2 linked regions of the Caenorhabditis elegans genome follow. The protein of the gene in region 1 purifies or fractionates together with the protein of each later gene. This does not show direct contact. Each region holds a gene or a part of one and is shown on either strand. Other genes may lie near its edges. The genes, in order: crn-2 and ttbk-8.2.

The links.
Region 2: the proteins of crn-2 (region 1) and ttbk-8.2 fractionate together in Caenorhabditis elegans (co-fractionation; one large-scale study listed by BioGRID). This does not show direct contact.

The regions. Positions count from the first base shown.
Region 1 is NC_003283.11:5,592,877-5,596,254, reverse strand, and holds crn-2 (Deoxyribonuclease TATDN1), read right to left. Parts: upstream 1,641-3,378; 5' UTR 1,610-1,640; coding exon 1,414-1,609; intron 1,353-1,413; coding exon 1,097-1,352; intron 1,046-1,096; coding exon 888-1,045; intron 840-887; coding exon 589-839; 3' UTR 510-588; downstream 1-509. Other genes in the region: zhit-1 (HIT-type domain-containing protein), read left to right, coding at 1-83, 136-397, 446-509; mrpl-48 (Small ribosomal subunit protein uS10 domain-containing protein), read right to left, coding at 1,832-1,963, 2,067-2,355, 2,406-2,545; vps-37 (VPS37 C-terminal domain-containing protein), read right to left, coding at 2,738-3,295, 3,348-3,378.
Region 2 is NC_003282.8:5,629,888-5,634,141, reverse strand, and holds ttbk-8.2 (non-specific serine/threonine protein kinase), read right to left. Parts: upstream 2,215-4,254; 5' UTR 2,162-2,214; coding exon 2,123-2,161; intron 2,075-2,122; coding exon 1,955-2,074; intron 1,797-1,954; exon of another isoform or gene 1,776-1,796; intron 1,635-1,775; coding exon 1,189-1,634; intron 1,143-1,188; coding exon 821-1,142; 3' UTR 763-820; downstream 1-762. Other genes in the region: srd-13 (G_PROTEIN_RECEP_F1_2 domain-containing protein), read left to right, coding at 49-324; srd-12 (G_PROTEIN_RECEP_F1_2 domain-containing protein), read left to right, coding at 3,903-4,177.

The sequences.
Region 1 (3,378 bases):
TGTCTGGAATAAAAACGCCCCAAAGTTCGACGATGAAATGATCGGTGGTCCGTCTGCGAAAAAAGCTAAAAAAGTGAAAGAAGGTGGGGTTTCCCTAATTGAAGATCAATGTAAACATTATTTAAATTTTTTCAGATAAGTCAGGAATTGTTCATGGTGAAAAAGCGCGTCGACGAAAACTCGCCCGTCCGGAGTTTAATAAGCAACGATTCAAAAAATCGTTCAATGCACATGTAATCGAGCAGAGCAAGGCAATTTTAGACTCAGCAGAGCCGGATTATCGACGAGTGAATGCTTATCAACTAAGCTCAGCACCTCCTTCTGAAAAACCTGCAAGAAAGTTCTGTGCAGTTTGCGGCATTATTTCCAAGTACTGTTGTACGCGATGTGGTGCCAAGTAAGTTTTTTTTTTAATCTGTGATATACATTATACAGTTTCTTTCAGATATTGCTCACTTCCATGTCGAGACGTGCATAATGATACTCGTTGCATGAAATGGTTGGCTTAACAATTTACAATAGCAAACAATACATCATAACAACGGGTTCCACGCAGAAAATAAATATTTTAAAATTTCCAATAAAAAATCATTCTAGTTTGTAAACTTTCTTCGCATTTTCCGTCGTAATCTTCGCAACTTCCTTCGGATCTCGACCGGCAAAAGCAGCGACAAGCTCACAGACGGCTGCTAGAGAACACGGCTCATTCCGATTGAACGAAGAGAAATTGTGAAGCGCTTCGGTTTCCGGGGTAATTAGGCTTTTGATTTCTTTTGGAATCTTTTTATCGTTGATTTTCGGGTACATATAAGGTGCATCAGTTTCAAGAACCAGCTTTTCTGAAATAAATTAATAATTTTAAGAAATAATTCATTTTTAAAAAATACCAATCGGAATTTCTCCAGATCGAAGCCCTGCCTGCACTCCATTATCTGATCTATCTTTCCAGAGGAACCCTGTCAATCCGATGTAGAACCCCATTTCCAAATATTTCTTCGCCTCCACTACGGTCCCAGTGAAGCAATGAATGACTGCGGGTGGAAGGCTGGAAATAAAAATTATAGAACAAGCTGAAAAATTAAGAAAAAAATATTACGAAGGTCCGGCAGCTGTTAATATTTTAACCATATCTTCATGAGCTTCTCTTTCGTGAATGAACAATGGTTTCTGAAGCTTTACAGCCATATCTACTTGCTTTGCGAACACTTCTTTTTGCACATCTTGTGGAGAAAAGTTGCGATTAAAATCGAGACCACATTCGCCAACAGCCACGCAACTCGGGTTTTCTTGTAATTTTTTGAGAGCTTCCAATGTTCCATCATTCCAATCCTTGGCATCGTGCGGATGAACGCCTAGGAATTTTAAGTTATTAAATTGATAACGAGGGCGTGATTGAAAGTTTCGGTAACATACCTGCAGTAAAATACAAAAATCCCGGATACTTTTCAACGAGATCTGCACATTCATGACTAATTTTTTCGCTGGTTCCAGTAACCATAATTTTCGACAACCCGGCTTGCTTGGCACGATCGAGCACATCATTCAAATCCTTTTGATATGAAGGATGACCCAGATTGGCTCCGATGTCGACGAGTTCGTACAACGCCATCCTGGTTATTCTTGATGATATTCCGAGAATTCTGATATGATAACAATTTGAAAATAAGCGTTAAAATGAAGGCGAAAATCGAGAAAAAGGCATTGTAAAGGCAAAAAAGTCCATTGAACAGAGAATATTAATATTCAAGAAAATTTCAAAAAGAATTTATCAACAGCAACAGTGAAAACTAAATGACTATAGGAAGTTATAGACTAAATAAAAAATTAAATTTTACTCCCATCCGAGATTGCGGCGTACATTCGGATCATCCAATGCTTTGAGTTCTTCTTGCTTCTGCTTCAATAACAAATCAGGAATATATCGGGAGTCTTCATCAACTTTCTCGTGTTCTTTCACCGTCATCTGAAGAATATATTTTGATTGAAATAAATTTCATCATATTTCATGTTATTACGACATCGAAAATTGGCTAATTTTACGAAATCTACATTTTTTTAAAACCTACAGTAACTCCAATGGGAATATGTGCTCGAATAATTTGACTGAAAAGTGAGAATCGGGGAGCGGCAACATCACTGAGACGGACGACGCGATCGTATGTGGACATATCAATTTCAGATTCGGAAACCGTCGAGTACGGCTTATAGGTGATTGCTTTTTGTGTTTGAGCAGCGACAGCATAACTATCCACCACGGTAAATCCGAATCGTTTCGCAGTTTTATGAATGTATGCTTGATATTTTTCTAGCGATCCAAAGTCGTGTCCTTGAATTCGGACGTTAATTGTGTTGTACCTGAATTTTTTTTTAAATTTAACAAATTTTTGAGAACTTGGCGAACGTACTCTGGAAACTCTCTACTATCTTGAAATTTCGGCTCGTAGAGCAAACTGGCGTCACGCTCTCCAACAGTTTCTCGTAGCGATGCGAGTCCTCGATTCTGTGAGATCACGCGAGATAATAAGGAGACCGCTCGGGATGACATTCTGCTTGAAAATTCAAAAATATTTTTATAGAGGATGTTGAAAAAATAGTTCAAATAAAAACGGATTCAACCTGAACTTGTGAAAATTTTATGAATTATTCAAGATGATTAATTTATTTTTTCAAATATTTACAAGCGATGACCAGTTTGTCGGAAAAGAATTAAAGAATCTATAAAAGCGAGCGAAAGAATTCAGAAAAATGGATGACGACCAGCAGAAGGTTGAGAAATATTTGGATATCCTGAATAGCCAGATCCGAATTGAATATTTCCTATTCCAGGCATGTGATTTCCTGTTGGGTATCCAGGCTGAGCGTGTGGCATTGGAGGAGGTACAGTTGGTTGAGCATATGAAGAATACGTTTGTTCACGAAGAAGTGCTGCGAGACGGTCAGACTTGATTTTTCGTAGATGAGCAATTGTCTTCTTATCTTTGAATTGCTTCAGGAAAATTTCCACGGATATTTCTCCATTTTCAAATTGTGTGAATAGGGCTTCTGCATCATCATCAGCTTCTTGTGCGGCGACTTGCATCAAGCTCGATGTTGTATCAAGTGATTTTGATGAGGAAACAGAGTCCAATTGACTTTTCAGCACGGCAACTTCTCCTTGGAGCTTTTTTACTTGGTCGTAGAGATCAACCGTTTGCGTTTTGGCAGCATCGATTCTCGGCTTTTGAGCTAAATTCCATTCTGCTAATGATTTATTTGCGGCAAGAGCTGATTCCTTATCAGTCGGCATTGAGCGGACCTGAAAAGTTATCCAGTTAAAATAAATCACCTGCTGAATATTTTTTACAAACCTGCGGGAGATTGACAATAATCGATTCTAAA
Region 2 (4,254 bases), on another chromosome or scaffold:
ATACCGACCATTATATTGGTTATGCTTCTCATAATTTTTCCTTTTCAGGCCCTAACCTATCAAGCAGCAATACCTGGTTTCTACTTGTTCGGAGTAACATCTTATGCCATTGGGCAATTTGGAATTTACAATCATCCAGCTCTTGAATACTTTACATTTTCGTCATTTCTCTTGATTCCACTTCTTTCTCCACTAGCTTCTTTTATTTTTGTTACTCCGTACCGGCGATTTATCATGCACTACTTTTTCAAAACGACTCGTGTTGAACCTGGAGAATCATCTTTAACACGTAATATCTATACTAGCAATGCTTATACTGGGTAAAATTCATTTAAAAAGGTTTTTGTAAATTGTATAAATAGCTTAAAAATTTGTTTACAACAATATGCCAGTTATGAGACAAAAATCGGAATAAATTAATTAAAATTCAAATATATCTCGAAACAAGTTCAAGAAAAATTTAGCCTTTCCAACATAATCAAATATTTTATGATGAAAATCATGGGAAGTAGACGCTGGGAACCTGGAGCCTTGTCTCCTCAAGCAGGCCTTCTCGTTTTGATGCATACATATAGGTAGACCTTATGGGCTCAGCAGGACACTATTCAGAAGGCGCAGGTGAGGCAGGCGGGTGAGGGCCTGCATAGAAGCTCTAGTTTAGCAAGATGAAGTATCTGGTACGGTAGCTAAAAACTTTTGATTGTGCCAGGACCCTATCATAATTTCTATCATTTGTGTTACATAACAAAACAGAAAACTTTTCATCATAATCATTTTTATTTCAATACAAAAAAGGAGTAGTCGATATCAAGTCTATGTTCTAGTGGAGCAAGTAAGCAGCTGGTCCTCCATTTTCCCAATCGTACGGAGCATTCTCGTTGGATCCGCAAGCACCATAAGCTTGACGCATCATTCCGTATATTGCTTGATAGTTGGGTGCATCATAGTATTTCATTGCATCAACCATACGCATAATATCCTGGAATTGTTGTGGGCATGGCGGTGGGAACAGGGTCCCAAGGTTGTTACGGATCGCTTGTTTGGCCTGACCAACTTGGTTCATGTCAGAGATATGTTGCCATGGAATTGTTCCGTGCGACAGTTCAACCTGCATGTACATCCAGGTCTCCAAGTCGTCCTTGCTGAAATTAGAGTCAATTAGATTTGGGATTGGGCTTGAGCACATACCGGCAAAGTTCTCTCTGAAGATGGCAACTGATTGGAGCGTACTTGACAGTTCCACGAAAACCAGCAGCTTGGCGTGGCTTTCTAATGGTTCCATCATTCCCAGTAAACTTTCTGCACATTCCAAAATCCAAAATGTAGACCTTGCGAATCTCGTTCAACTCGGGACGTCCAATCGTGTAATTTCCGGGTTTGACGTCACGATGAAGGTATCCAATGTTATGAAGATCCTCGAGTGCCTCCAACGATTGAATGCCGATTCCAATCGAGCAACCCATCGACATGTGCCCACCGACCCCAGCTTTATTCAAATCTTGAAGCGATTTTCCGACAAGTGTCATTACGACGTAGTTGAAGTTTCCAAAGCGTCCCTTGTCCTCGATCTTACAGAAATGACGATTTCCACGCTTTGAGAGCTCGTTGAGCACAGAAACTTCCAGTTTCAACACCTGAAATTATTCTTAAAGTCTCAGGTGAGAAATTGCGCTCCTACAGGCTTAAATGTAGAAATTGCGCTCCTACAGGCTTAAATGTGGCTTAGGCTTAGGATGGGACATAGGTCTACACGAAACACACATCATATGCGCTCTGTCGAACTCACAATTATTCGAGCGTTGGTTCATTTGCGCTCTAGTGTAAGAGTGAAACTTGAAACCGAACAATTCTAAGATTCTAAGAAGAATGACCGAAAGATTCCGAAAGATAGAAACAAAAACTGTTGCTCAAAAATGCAGAAAAAATTCAAATGAACAATTGTGCTGTGATGTACCTGGATCTGCTCATTGGCTCCTTCCACTTTCATCGCGTATTTGCCGGTTGCGTCGAATACACGGTACACCGCACCGAATCCTCCTTCTCCCAACTTCTTCTCGATGCTCCATCTCTCGACCTGAAAGCTTTGAAATTCGCGGGTCTCGCAGCGAACTCTCTCACTCACCTGTTGTCCGGGATTAAGCTGAATGAGCTCTTGGGCCATCTTGAATGTTCGTCTGACAAGCCGTTTGGTTTTTCAATGAAACTCCAAAATTGTAAGGATTGAATTGTTGGTTTTGAATTTCTGATTTTACCCTGGGGTGATGTTTGGGCGGAGCTTAGATGTGGAGCAAAGATAATGACACGGAGGTGGCCACGTTTTAAACTTTTTTGAAAAAATTATCTTCAATAAAGTTGCAATTAAAGAGATAATTTTTTAATCAATTAAAAAAAAACGTGACATTAAAAATTGAAAAAAAAAATGTTAAAGATGAAAATCATAAAACTGATTTGTTTCTTTTTCTACGCTTACAAAGGCCAAGGAGAGCATATGATACTTATTATTATAGAACGGAGTATAAGCTTATGCGCCTATTTGTTTTCAATTTTTTTATTTTTATTTTAAACCGGAAAAGGCAAAAGAAAAAATGCAAACATTTGATATGCAAAACTTTTAGGTTCAGATATAACAAACCAAAGCTCTTCTTACAGTAATTTTTGAACCCTTTTTGGATAACTTTTATTTATTTTTATAATGCTTTCAGTCTCCAATTTATTGAAATATAATTTTAGCAGAAGTGACTCAGAATTGAAGTTTAAGCACCTTATTTGAAAGTGCTTTATGAATCATTTTCAAAGAAATTCTTTTTAAGAGGTCAAAAATCAGACAATGGTCTGACTAAAGCTATTAAGCACAATGCTTATGCGCTCACTAATGACAGATTACCTAAAGAATGACAGATTACCTAAAATGAGAAATATATAGATAAACGATCATTTTATTGAGAAGGCGTGGAACCGAATGGAGAACAATCGAGAATAAAAACAATAGAGGATGGGATTAGAAAAGCAATATATAATGATTATACTTACCTATAATTTTTAGAAGCTTTTTTATTTCATGCTTTAAAAAATTTGGTTAAAAAATTTTTATTTTTTATTTTTTACAGTTTCAAGAGTTCACTTTATACGGTTTAGTAACCAGAATTTTCGTTCTTCTTTATTCGGTATGCGTTGTTTTTCAAAGGCGAAAAACTAAAGTTTACAATATATTTTTTGCTGTTTTTTTATTGAAAAAGCTAGGAAAACCTAGCCCGCTCAGATAATTATTTTGCGAAAATCTACAGAAATGACTAAAAGTAGCTGAAATTCAAATTCCGTGAATTTTCTAGTTTCATGCTCCGGCAACTATTTAAATGCGTACTAATTTTTGTTCATACTTATCCCCCAATGACGATTTCGCTTTTTTAAAATCCGTTAATTGATGCTCTAGTATATTCGAAAACTAGAATAAATTCAATAGTTTTGATCTCCATTTTCTTGTTTTTTATTTAAAAACTCACGTATTTCGAATAAATAGAGTAATAATCGTATTGTTCTATACAATTCTTCCATAAAATCAAAACACGATTTTTGATTTCGGAACTCTATTATTTACTTGGTTGACAAAATAACCAGGAAAGGAGGTGTTCTAGTTAGTATATTCAGAAGTTTTGAACTTTTATCACACAAATGAGACTTCCTTATTTTAAAATTGTATCCATTATGTAGTACGTTCCAATTAATCATTTTAAATGCATACCCAGACAGGGTACAAAACTTTATAGTTAAATATTTTTTTTTCTTTGAATAAGAAATGTATTTGTATCTCAATATAAAAAAGATTCTTAAATTGTCAACCACATTAGCTCGAACCATTACATAAATACCCTGAAACCGTTTTTTCTTTTTCAGAAATCAAAGTCATGTTTGATTTTGCTGTTCTCTTCTCATGTGCTCATGCCATAATTTCCGTGCTTGGAATGTGTTTCAATGCCTTGTTAGCCTACTTGGCACTGTTCCAAACTCCACGTGTCATCAAGTCATATGCCACGTTAATCGTTAACTTTGCAATAACTGATTTCTTCGCTTGTATGTTTGATTTCTTCGTTCAACAGAGATTAATCCCAACTGGAATGACTTTGGCATACGTTTCCAATGGATTCTGCAAGCATTGGGGTCCGAGAACGTGCTTTTTTGGGTTTGTTTTTTTTTTCCGAAAGTGATGATGGCGCATCAGTCTTTCAAAAGCTATGCAAATTTACGTCCAAATTGAAA